Arabidopsis thaliana: one gene and its partner. Each later gene encodes a partner of the first gene's protein in a complex. Each region holds a gene or a part of one and is shown on either strand. Other genes may lie near its edges.

Region 1 (6,578 bases):
GAATTTTTCGCTACGAAATCTTAGGTTAAGAATAGCATATAAGGAACAGATTTGTGATAGGAGTCTTTAAGCTTAGCACTCATGTATAGCTTAAAAGAAATCTTATGTTCCGATGCTAAATCAAACATCTTCATTGATGGTTTGGAGTCTCTGGACATGTAGCATTCTGGGAATTTTTTTTCCCGTGGATTCTAGCATTTTCTCGAGATTCGACATCTTCCTATGTTTTTAATTCTGATCTTATGTTTGGATATTTTAGATCTTCGAATTTCTATGATAAAGTGTTAACCTTTTCTCAAATAAAGGTTTTGTGAAAATTTGCTTTTTGATGCTGCTCTATGATGATTCTTTTTGCTTTAACCACACTGAAAAGATGGGGTTGAGAATGTGATTTTGCTCTTCTTGATTCAAACCAGAGAAAGATTAGATTTGATCTCGGAGTTTCTTGATGACACTTTGATCTAAGTTGCTTGAAGGGGATTCTTTTTCTCCTTTGTGGTTTAGATTAAGGTAGAGAGTAATGTCGAGCTCTTATCAACATTTTTCATGGTTTGAGGCTTGAAGAACATTCACGTTTTTCAAGCTCACTCATGTGGACAACCTTGGCCCTTGTCTGAGAAGCAGCTTTTTCTCATATTCAGTTTTTCTAAATTTGTTGTTTTAAAAAAAAAAATTGGTTTGTTTTTTTGGCTGTTCTATGATGATTATATTGCTTTAACCACACTGAAAAGATGGGCTTGAGAATGTGATGTGGTTCTTCTTGATTTAATCCAAAGAAAGAGTTCTTGAGCTATATGTATTGCTTGATGACACTTTGATCTAAAATACTTGAAGGGGATTTGTTTCCCTTTGTGTTTTAGATCAAGGAAGAGATCAGTGTAGAGCTCTTGTTCGATATTTTTCTTAGTTTAAATCTTGAAGAACATTATCATTTTCTCAAGCACTCATATGTGGAATCATTGTGCCCTTTGTCTGAGAAGCAGCTATGAATTCTGTTTTTGTCTTCGATATTGTTAAACGTAGCTGATTTGTAAGATTACTTTGTGATCTTTTTTGGATGCTTGATATGTATCCAACCAAGAGTGGGTTTCTTCTTACAAAGATATTGAGTTAGGAATTTTAATGTCATTTTATGTTCGAATTGGGGAAAATTCACAAAAAATTGGGAAAATAGAAGAGAGCATTATTCGATGTTTACCACATGGTGGAATAATTTGACAGAACAATGTACTTTGGGAATGACATATGGAACAAACTGTGTAAACCAATTTGATGATGAAGGTGAACGAGTTACATATAGGAGACTTACACTTCCATAATAATATTCAGAAACTATATGAAAGTGTATCTTTCTTTATTACTAAAACTCTTTTCTAATAAGAAATGTGTAAACTATGTAACTCGGCAACGGTTCCAGACTCTCTAATCCTAAATCAATGTTAAAGGCGTAAGGCTCTTGAACCTGTTCATTGTGAGCTTTGAACTAAGTATTCAATTTTTTGGACAATCCGAAAAACACAACAGTATAACTACAAATGGATTAGTCCCATTTGGGCGTAGTCTCATTCGTTTGGACGAGAAACACAACGAAAAACCTAGCCAATTTTGTTGTTCTCATGTATGGGCTTAATTGGGGACTAATCCATCTGTGGTTCCCCTTGTTTCCATAGTTCGTAATTTTATTCGTTTTTCGTCTTAAGTTTTCCCTTCTTTAGGTTTAGTTTCCGGAGATATTTTTGTTTTCCGCCGGCTTTGTGTTTCAAATTTGTATTCCACCCTTTGTATTTCACAACCTATAATACAATGGAAAAATTCTGGATGAAAAAAAGAAAAAGAACACAGTATATAGAAAAATCTGAATCACAGTACTAACATCATTGATTTTCTGCTACAAAAATGAGTGTACACTGATTCTTAAAATAGATACGGGCTATAACATAACAAAAAGAAAAAGTGGGGGATGGCTTTTGCAATAATCTCGAAAGAGTTTCTCACTCACATCACACCCTTGGTTTATAAATAAAACTCATTGATCTTGACGGTGAAAATATCGCCACCTGTTAATTTGTAAAAAGGTTTCAGTACACTTAGCTACACTGGATCCAAGTCTAGTGCTAAACTCAAACCTCGTGGTTTTAGACCAAAATCTCTTCTTCTTCGTTTCCTTCTTCCTCATCATATCTTTCATCTTCTCCACCAGAATTTGTTTTAGGCTCTCCTTCTTCTGTTTCTTTTTCTCCCAAAGAAACAATTAGATATGGAGAACCTTACCCTAGTTTCTTGCTCAGCTTCTTCTCCAAAGCTGTTAATTGGATGCAATTTCACTTCCTCGCTGAAAAACCCTACTGGGTTTTCTCGTCGGACTCCTAATATTGTCCTCCGGTGTTCCAAAATATCTGCCTCTGCTCAATCTCAATCTCCCTCTTCGCGTCCGGAGAACACTGGAGAAATCGGTTAGTTTGCAAATTCCACTCGACACTCTATTATAGCAAATGCCAAAATTTTCCGGAAAAATTTCCAGTTTATTACTTTTATCTATCTTATTGAAACTCAAATTGCGAACCCTTTTCGACTGGTTTAATATGAGCTTATGAATTGCTATATCTCTTAAAAAAATCCACACTTTGTGAATTTGCAATTTGAATTCTTGTAGAAACCATTCATTGTTAGAATTGTTTACTTTAAGTTTATGTTCGATTTGCAGTGGTTGTGAAACAGAGAAGCAAAGCTTTTGCAAGTATATTTTCTTCGAGTCGTGATCAACAGACAACTTCTGTTGCTTCCCCTAGTGTGCCTGTGCCACCACCATCTTCATCAACCATGTAATTTTCCTGGTTTTGGACAATGTGCTTAGTTTGTATGTCGTTTGATTCTTGGTTATTAAATTGTGTTTTTTCTTTTTTCTTGTAGAGGATCACCACTTTTCTGGATTGGTGTTGGTGTTGGTCTATCAGCTTTGTTCTCATATGTGAGTATCAAGATTCCTTCCTAATTTTTTTTTCCTCTATAAATATTCTTTCTTGCTTCAATATTGATTAATAAGTGCTTGACCTTTTTTCTTTTCTGATGGCATTGCAGGTAACTTCAAATTTAAAGGTACAGATACTTGGCCCTCTGGTTTTACGGGACTTTTGTTCTCTAGTCTGTTGCAGAACCACGATTTTATGCTTCATGTCAACTCTAGTGTATTGTGCTCATGTATCTGAGATAGTTTTATTCACTAAACTGGTTATCTTAACAAGGTGAACTGTTTGCTCACACTTGTTGAACCGTTTATATAAGCATCGAACTTTTGCCTCTCTTTTTTTGGGTAGTCACTTGATTCGTAGATGGTAACCTACATACCATTATGGTTTTAGTGATGCAACTCAGGTATTCAGACTTATAGTCATTTTCGCAACTCCAGTATTTGATTGAAATATATTATACAAGTTGTCATTGCTTTCTCTCATTATTCTCTAACCGGCTGTTACTCTCTTTGGATTTTTTTTTTTGCTTTGGTTTAGAAATATGCAATGCAAACAGCTATGAAGACGATGATGAACCAAATGAATACGCAAAATAGCCAGTTTAATAATTCTGGATTCCCATCAGGATCACCTTTTCCGTTTCCATTTCCTCCTCAAACAAGTCCTGCTTCCTCGCCATTCCAATCTCAATCCCAGTCTTCAGGTGCTACCGTTGATGTGACAGCGACAAAAGTAGAGACACCTCCTTCAACTAAACCGAAACCTACACCTGCAAAGGATATAGAGGTGGATAAGCCAAGTGTTGTCTTAGAGGCAAGCAAAGAGAAGAAAGAAGAAAAGAACTATGGTAGATTCTTTTTCTGTTTCAGAAATCAACGTCTTTTCATTTGTATTCTCAATTTTGACTTTCTTCCTTTCTCATTTTCCAAGCTTCTAACTTGGAAGCTGATTTACTTTTGGATGCAGCCTTTGAAGACATTTCACCCGAGGAAACCACAAAAGAAAGCCCATTTAGCAACTATGCAGAAGTCTCTGAAACTAATTCCCCCAAAGAAACTCGCTTGTTTGAGGATGTAAGTTTCGTTTTCTTTTGTATTTCCACAGCACACCAAGTGGTGATTTAAAAACGTGACATAGTTTTGCTAACCTTCTATGCTCTCTTATTGATCTCTGGGTGAAGGTCTTGCAAAATGGAGCTGGTCCGGCAAATGGTGCCACTGCTTCAGAGGTTTTTCAATCTTTGGGTGAGTTATTGAATTTCAGTTTTCATCACTATCAGCGCACTGTGCATGATTCATGATTAAGGCTACGGATTTCAATTTTATTTTATAGCATATGCCAACAATTATAAACAAAGGAAGATATGAAATTGGTGATAAAGAGGAATGAGTTGGCTTCAAAAGGATCTACTCCGTTACTTTTGTCCTTCTGCTAGTCGTTGATCTGTATTGGTATAACCATATAAGACTTGCAGGATATTACCTTGGCAATCTGTTTCATATCTCATGTGTTATGATTCTTTTTTCTTATATGCTCACGTTATTGTCTCTCTTTTCCTTATTCTAAATTTAAAACTGAATCCTGAGTCTGTCTATTGTTTACACAGGTGGTGGGAAAGGAGGGCCGGGTTTATCTGTAGAAGCTTTAGAGAAAATGATGGAAGATCCAACAGTCCAGAAGATGGTTTACCCGTAACTCATCTTCCCTAGCACATTGTCTTTAAATGCATCCATTAAGTTTATCTTTAAAACTGGTTGCTTAGTGGACATTTGGTAACATTGCATGTATAAATGCAGATACTTGCCTGAGGAGATGAGGAACCCAGAAACTTTCAAATGTAAGTCTTTTAATATTTAATCCTGCTATCATTCTTTTATTAGTCCTCATTTTTACATATTTCTAAAGACTAAAGGTTACATGACTAGCTTTTGAATGATGTAATTCGTTTATAGGTTGATCCAATGGTTATCTAAATTTAAAATACAGTTTGGTACTTATTGTCTCCGCTTGGAATTTTGTAGGGATGCTTAAAAATCCTCAGTACCGTCAACAACTACAGGACATGTTGTAAGAGCTCCATTTTACGAACAATTTAGTTGTTTCCATTGCTTTTAAGAATGTCTAAACTATGTAATTAAGAAATACTCTTGTTTGTTTCTTTTCATGAATTTAGGAATAATATGAGTGGGAGTGGTGAATGGGACAAGCGAATGACAGATACATTGAAGAATTTTGACCTGAATAGTCCTGAAGTGAAGCAACAATTCAGTAAGACAAATCTCAGTTTGTACCAAGTTAATAGTACGTTAAATAGGTCTGATACTCAATGATTGAATCTGTATTTGTCAGATCAAATAGGACTAACTCCAGAAGAAGTCATATCTAAGATCATGGAGAACCCTGATGTTGCCATGGCATTCCAGAATCCTAGAGTCCAAGCAGCGTTAATGGAAGTACGTTTTCTTTTAACCTGAATAAGAGAATTGCTTAATTTTACCCCACTTCTTTCTTCATACAAAACAGAAACCAATTACATTCTTGTTGTTGTTGCAGTGCTCAGAGAACCCAATGAACATCATGAAGTACCAAAACGACAAAGAGGTAATAATACTGCCACTTCTCCATTGCCCAAAAAGGCGATTACTTTTTTAAGAAATTTGAGGTTATTATACATTGATTGCAGGTAATGGATGTGTTCAACAAGATATCGCAGCTCTTCCCAGGAATGACGGGTTGAAAAAGCTCACGTCTTTGGTTCTATCAAAAATGTCACATTGTCTTTAGCTTTTTGTAGGGAGAAAAAAATGTTTTTTTTTTTGCAAAGAGTCTTCAGTTTTGGTCAGATCAGAGAATTGTGTACCATGTTAATCTTAAACGCGGTCGGGAATTGGAGTCGTGTGAAAACGCCGCTGCTGTTGTTTGGTATGAATATTATACAATAGAATTTGTTGTCTTACCAAAAAAAGTCTATGAAGACACTGAAGAGCAAATTATTATTTTTAAGGGAAAATTTCCAAAATAAACTTCATGTATTCAAAATTTGCTTGAAAAAACCTCAATTTTTTTTGTTTGAGATTGTGTGAATAAATCTGCCAATATTTTGTTTTAGCAATTTAAAAAATTGAAGTTTTTTTCTCGCAAATTTTAAATAGTTGTGATTTATTTTGGAATTTTACCTTATTTTTAATATCCAAAAGGAGAAGTGACGTGGCGATATCGAAGCGGTTTAATGAAGTGATGGCCCCATCTTAAAGAAATCAATGACCCTTATCGTTCCACTTCTATCGGAGTCGGAGTTTTTTTTTGTTGTTGTTGTATTCCGTACGTCGGTCGTTGTCGGGAGAATTGGCGCGTGAAATCCTTGGCTCCGTCGAATACGTCTGCCTCCGACGGCTGTGAGTCGCATGATTGAGTCGTGGGTAAGTATCCTTGTGACTTCAAATTTGTATTTCCGTTCTTTATAATCCCCTGACTCTTGAGAAAATCGAGGAGAAAAAACCATCCTTGCTTGGTATTCATTTGAAGAGTGTTTTAGTTATAAAATCGTAATGTTTGACGGTATGTGATATTCTGTGAGCATGATTATTCAGAAAGCTTTTGTCTTTTTAG
Region 2 (5,230 bases), on another chromosome or scaffold:
AGTATGATACTTTTAAATTTCAAAATTTTGTTTTGTAATGTTTGATTCTGATTTTGATCTGGTCTTGAGATAAGGTTCATAATGAGAGGTTCTTCTGCACTGAGTATGAGAGATCCAAGGCTGTTGCTGATAAGATGGCTTTGAATGCTGCTTCTGAAGGTGTGCCGATAATTTTGCTGTATCCTGGTGTTATTTTTGGTCCAGGCAAGCTCACTTCAGCCAATATGGTTGCTAGAATGGTATGATTCTTCCTTTTGCTGATTAGAGTTGCATTGGTGGGATGATGTAGTGGTACATTGACAGTATGTGGTTGATTATCACATGATGTTGTTCTTCTAGTTGATCGAGCGCTTTAACGGGAGGTTGCCTGGATATATTGGCTCTGGGACGGATAGATACTCCTTCAGCCATGTTGATGATGTTGTGGAGGGTCATGTTGCTGCAATGGAAAAAGGTAGGCTTGGTGAAAGATACTTACTCACTGGGGAAAATGCTTCTTTCAAGCTTGTCTTTGACATGGCTGCACTGATTACTGGAACCAAAAAGCCAAACTTTAGCATTCCATTATGGGCCATCAACGCATACGGATGGTTATCTGTTTTAATCTCTCGGGTTACAGGAAAGCTTCCACTTATCAGTCCTCCGGTGAGTTTCAATTGCATTCATTAGTTGCCCACATATTATAGATTATCTTATTAGGTATAGAATAATCTCAACTCTTAGTATTTTGTGATGAACAGACAGTGACAGTGCTGAGACATCAGTGGTCATACTCTTGTGATAAGGCTAAGCTGGAACTTGGTTATAACCCTCGAAGCCTAAAGGAAGGATTGGAGGAGATGCTCCCTTGGTTGAAGAGTCTGGGCGTCATTCACTACTGAAATTCAAATTTCCCATCTTTCAGGTATTTCGAAGAATAATATTCCCTTGAATTCAGTCACTATGATGAGTGATGACTACATTTTTACTTCTCCCGTTACACTTTTAACCCAATCGATTTTTATCTTGTTACAAAACTGCTTCGTTTTGATCGTGTATGTCAAATAAATGTGAAACATTGTGTGCAAATGCTGATGATCATATTTTAAGATGTTGAGCTACGTGTGAGAGTAGGAAAGAGGGAATATGTAAATGTGGGAAATAATCACATTTTATCTGCCAAGAACTATATGATTACATCTATAACATATATGATCAGAAGATAAATACTAAGTATCCATATAATTTGTTCATGATGGTTTTGATCTTTTAGGATATCCACTTTATTGTAGCTGCATGGCCGTTGGTAGTCAATCTTCTTTTCAGTTTATGCTGTTCAGTGTTCACAAAACAAATTAAATAGGTCAATTAGAGGATTATGTAGTTAGAAGCTCTCACAACTACACATGTTTCGGCAATATTAAAAAGAAACTGCAGTAGCTACCTGTTACAGTCCACAGTCTTAGAGAAAGGGACTCCTATATTAACACCACATTTAGCAGGGAGTTGTTTGGCAAAATCATCATTAATTCCAGGGATTGTATTAGCTACACTCTTCAAGCAATTACAAGCTACTTGTCTATCGGCTTTCTCAGGCGCTGCGGCTTTTAGACTATTAAGTCCGTTGCAGCACATTGGAGACGGATTTCCTCCAGCTTTTAGATAAGGCAAACATTGTGCTAAGTACATGTTTACCTGCGGACATGCTATGGCTTCTCCATGATACGCAATCCCCAATAAAATCGTAATCACAAGTAGTAACATTTTTCGGGTTGTAGTAGTAATGTTCCTCATATTTTTCAGTTAACGAGAGTTTTAACAATTTTGTTTTCTTTAGTGTGTTGTTTGCTTGATCTAGTAAGTATTTTATAAGGAGGAGAAATTTGGAGGAAAAAAATGTCATCGACATGAATTTTGAGTGACAAAAGCTTTTTGTAAGTCATGTCATGTGTTTAGAATGGTGTGGAAGTTGAGTTTAGAAAGTTAATAAATGCTTTGTCACCAAACTTTTGATCAAGGGCCATATTAAACGTAAACTAAAACCAATCAAGTCCAATAAAGCCCAAATAAAAAAGCCCAAACGAATTGCTCTGAAGCCTTTTTCTTCACTCTCTTCATAGTATCAAAAATTGCTTCTTCTTCTTCTACTTCTTTCTTCTCTCTGCAAATCCAAAAATGGAGTCATCAGTGAAACCCAATCCTTTCCTCTCCTTCTCTTCTTTCATTCACCACCAGTGTACCCGCTTCAGCTCCGACCTCTCCGCCCGAATCGAAGACACGAAACGATTCGCCGAAACCCTAGCTACTCGACGTTTCTCTCTTCCTACTCCGCCGCCTTTCGCCTCCGTCTCACAATCCAAGTCTGGAACCCCGACGACGACGTTGAGTCCATCTCTTGTCGCTAAAGCTCTCGCTGGGACGTCGGTGTTTACAGTCAGTAACACCAATAACGAATTCGTTCTTATCTCGGATCCTACCGGAGGCAAGTCTATCGGTTTGCTCTGTTTTCGACAAGAGGATGCTGAAGCTTTTCTTGCTCAGGTTTCGCTTTTTGTTGTATTTTTCTCCTCCGAACTTTTTTAAAAAAATGTGAAGTTTCTGAGCTCATAATTCTCTAATATACTCCTTTAGGCGCGACTTCGGAGAAGAGAATTGAAAACCAATGCGAAGGTTGTTCCCATTACTCTGGACCAGGTAGTTCCCTTTCCTTATGATCACTGCATTAGATCAATGTGGAAGAAGCCATTGGTTAAATCAAATGAAACAAACAAATTTCAGGAGCTCAAATTCTAAGTAGACTTGTTCATGTCTGGCCTCATTTTAGTTGTTTATATTATACGGTAATAGGAACACCTGTTGGCAGTTTGAATGAACGGGAGATTGTGTTCTTGTGCACGTAGCAATGTTGACAACATCGTCACAAGAAAGAATGCAACGATGGCATGATTATAATCCCTCTAATGGCTTGGAACTTATAAGTTATAACTACGTTTAGGGAACTTTTTGATGTTATTTGCGTAATCGTGGTAGCTACATTCCCAGAAGTTAAGATGATGTTGTTTACAGGTGTACTTGCTAAAAGTTGAAGGGATTTCCTTTCGCTTCTTGCCAGATCCAATCCAAATAAAGAATGCGTTAGAGGTTGGCTCATGCTAAACAGACTTTTAATTATATGTGTCTATAGCATTTATTTGGCATTTCAATCTTATCCATAAGCTATATTTTCTTGCGTCTCAGCTCAAATCCTCAGGAAATAAGAATGGGTTTGATGGAGTTCCGGTTTTTCAGGTAAATTGATATACTCATTTTCTGTGTTTTTCTATTATACCAATATGGATTCCTTATGTTTTGGTGTTTTTGCTTTGTTTTCTCTTGATATCTATCTGTTGTTATTGGCCTCTACAGTCTGAGCTTCTTGTTGTGAGGAAAAAAAATAGACGTTACTGCCCTGTATATTTCAGTAAGGTTGGTTAGTTTCTTCTCCCACGTTAAAGAATACTAATAGATCTCTCATAAGCCAAAACAGAGGAAGATAACTCTTACTTTCCTGTTCTGCGTGACCACTTTCAGGAAGATATAGAGAGGGAACTTTCTAAATATACGAGAGCATCAAGAGGAGATCAACAAATTATGGTAATGATTCATACCTACCTTCTATGTATTTGAATCTTCGATAGGCCACGTAAGATAGAAACAAACACCTTGATCTAAAGACATGGTTTACTAACAAGTGGGAGTAGCTAGTAGCTGTGTTGGCATCATATGTAATTTCTAGCATTTTTTGTGATTACATGTTCTGCAAACATATAACACCATGTTTTCAAAGGAACAGCGAGGGAAAGGGAAAAGTCTTAGAAAACTTTAGAAAGAGCGGAATTCAGATTGTACATGCCTTCATATATCTGAGTTAAAATGAATTCCAAGGTTTATCGTTATCAAAGTTGCATATCAGAGATCAATATATAAAGTAATTTCACAGCATTGGTTTTGTTAAGAGTTTTCTTATCTTCACCATGGAACTAATCTTTTTGTTTTGCAGGTTGGGAGTCTGGAAGATGTGTTGAGGAAAATGGAGGTACTCACGCTTCTTCTTTGTTTAAAGAAACCTTAAAGTATGAAAACCTGGTAGTCTAATAAAAATCTGAATTGAATCAATGTAGATGAGCGAGAAGAATTCAGGTTGGGAAGATGTAATATTCATTCCACCGGGAAGAAGTTATGCACAACACATGCAGGATTTGATCAAAGAGTAAAACCATAATAGACACAATGTGTGTATTTTTACTTGATAAAAAAAAAACAGCCTCTTTTGAGATTTTGCAATATTATCAATTGCCCAAAGAGCTCAACACAGTCCCAAAATTTAGTTTTCTCCTCTCCTTTTACCACTTAAACACATCATCAACATGTTACTCGTGGTTCTTACATCCAGAAAAATATATTTGGCATATACGGATACCTAAATCAAATAACATAATCTTGTTTGTTTTAAAAAGTGGAGATGTACGTTATTCATCTGTCATTAGAATGTAGTATCAGCCTAATTATTCAAAGGAGGTTGAGGCCTCTAAAATGATATGTTGGTTTAAGCTAATTATTGATCAAATTTGGTTGATATACGATTATTAAAACTAAGATGTCTTACCAATACTTATTTTCATTTTCTTTTCCTCTCATCATAATCGCTTTGACATCTCAGCTTAATGATAATGTGATTATTTTCATCCTTACTAATTGTTACTGCCTTAAAAAAAACAAGTTGAAGTAAGAAAAAGAAAAGGAGATGAGATTGTTTCAAAAGCATTGATCCTTTCCTGAAGCGTAAGTAAGCGATGTTGACAGCAGAACTAAACTTGTTGCTTGCTTGACTTCCTCCGTCGTCGCATATTGCACCTACTAACATTTTTTCTCTTCTTTATTCTTCCAACCAATTGTAGCCTATGGTCTTTTGTACCAATTTTTCAAAAGTTGTAGTTGGTAGAGGTTTTGTGAACAAATCTGTAACATAATTTATTTTCTAACATAGATTGCATCGTTTTCTGATAAAGATCATCAAATTGTGGAAATATGTAGTTTTTTTTTAGTTTTTTTTTTTTGGGCGGAAATATGTAGTTTATTATCCTACTTTTGATGACATTTTCCTTTATTCAATTGAGCTGTAACTACTACTTTATTTTATTTTTGTATTGTGTTAAGTTGTTGTATAGTCTTTATCGGAGATTACATGTTCTCCGAACTTATGTAACAGCAA

The links.
Region 2: TIC40 (region 1) and Tic22-IV share a complex: the UniProt entries of both Arabidopsis thaliana proteins name them as parts of the tic complex.

What each region holds. Positions count from the first base shown.
Region 1 is NC_003076.8:5,448,551-5,455,128, forward strand, and holds TIC40 (hydroxyproline-rich glycoprotein family protein), read left to right. Parts: upstream 1-2,069; 5' UTR 2,070-2,257; coding exon 2,258-2,453; intron 2,454-2,704; coding exon 2,705-2,822; intron 2,823-2,910; coding exon 2,911-2,968; intron 2,969-3,078; coding exon 3,079-3,096; intron 3,097-3,506; coding exon 3,507-3,816; intron 3,817-3,935; coding exon 3,936-4,042; intron 4,043-4,149; coding exon 4,150-4,213; intron 4,214-4,575; coding exon 4,576-4,660; intron 4,661-4,765; coding exon 4,766-4,806; intron 4,807-4,990; coding exon 4,991-5,036; intron 5,037-5,142; coding exon 5,143-5,237; intron 5,238-5,318; coding exon 5,319-5,422; intron 5,423-5,522; coding exon 5,523-5,570; intron 5,571-5,652; coding exon 5,653-5,706; 3' UTR 5,707-6,027; downstream 6,028-6,578. UniProt on the Arabidopsis thaliana protein: Involved in protein precursor import into chloroplasts. Part of the motor complex consisting of a co-chaperone (TIC40) and a chaperone (HSP93) associated with the import channel (TIC110).
Region 2 is NC_003075.7:16,063,640-16,068,869, reverse strand, and holds Tic22-IV (Tic22-like family protein), read left to right. Parts: upstream 1-1,972; 5' UTR 1,973-2,154; coding exon 2,155-2,520; intron 2,521-2,610; coding exon 2,611-2,673; intron 2,674-3,045; coding exon 3,046-3,120; intron 3,121-3,216; coding exon 3,217-3,267; intron 3,268-3,384; coding exon 3,385-3,444; intron 3,445-3,549; coding exon 3,550-3,612; intron 3,613-4,018; coding exon 4,019-4,054; intron 4,055-4,139; coding exon 4,140-4,232; 3' UTR 4,233-4,433; downstream 4,434-5,230. Other genes in the region: FLDH (NAD(P)-binding Rossmann-fold superfamily protein), read left to right, coding at 1-1, 75-239, 340-645, 741-881; AT4G33355 (Bifunctional inhibitor/lipid-transfer protein/seed storage 2S albumin superfamily protein), read right to left, coding at 1,302-1,311, 1,424-1,773. UniProt on the Arabidopsis thaliana protein: Involved in protein precursor import into chloroplasts. Imported into the intermembrane space via the Toc translocon. May be involved in the import pathway used by proteins without a cleavable N-terminal pre-sequence.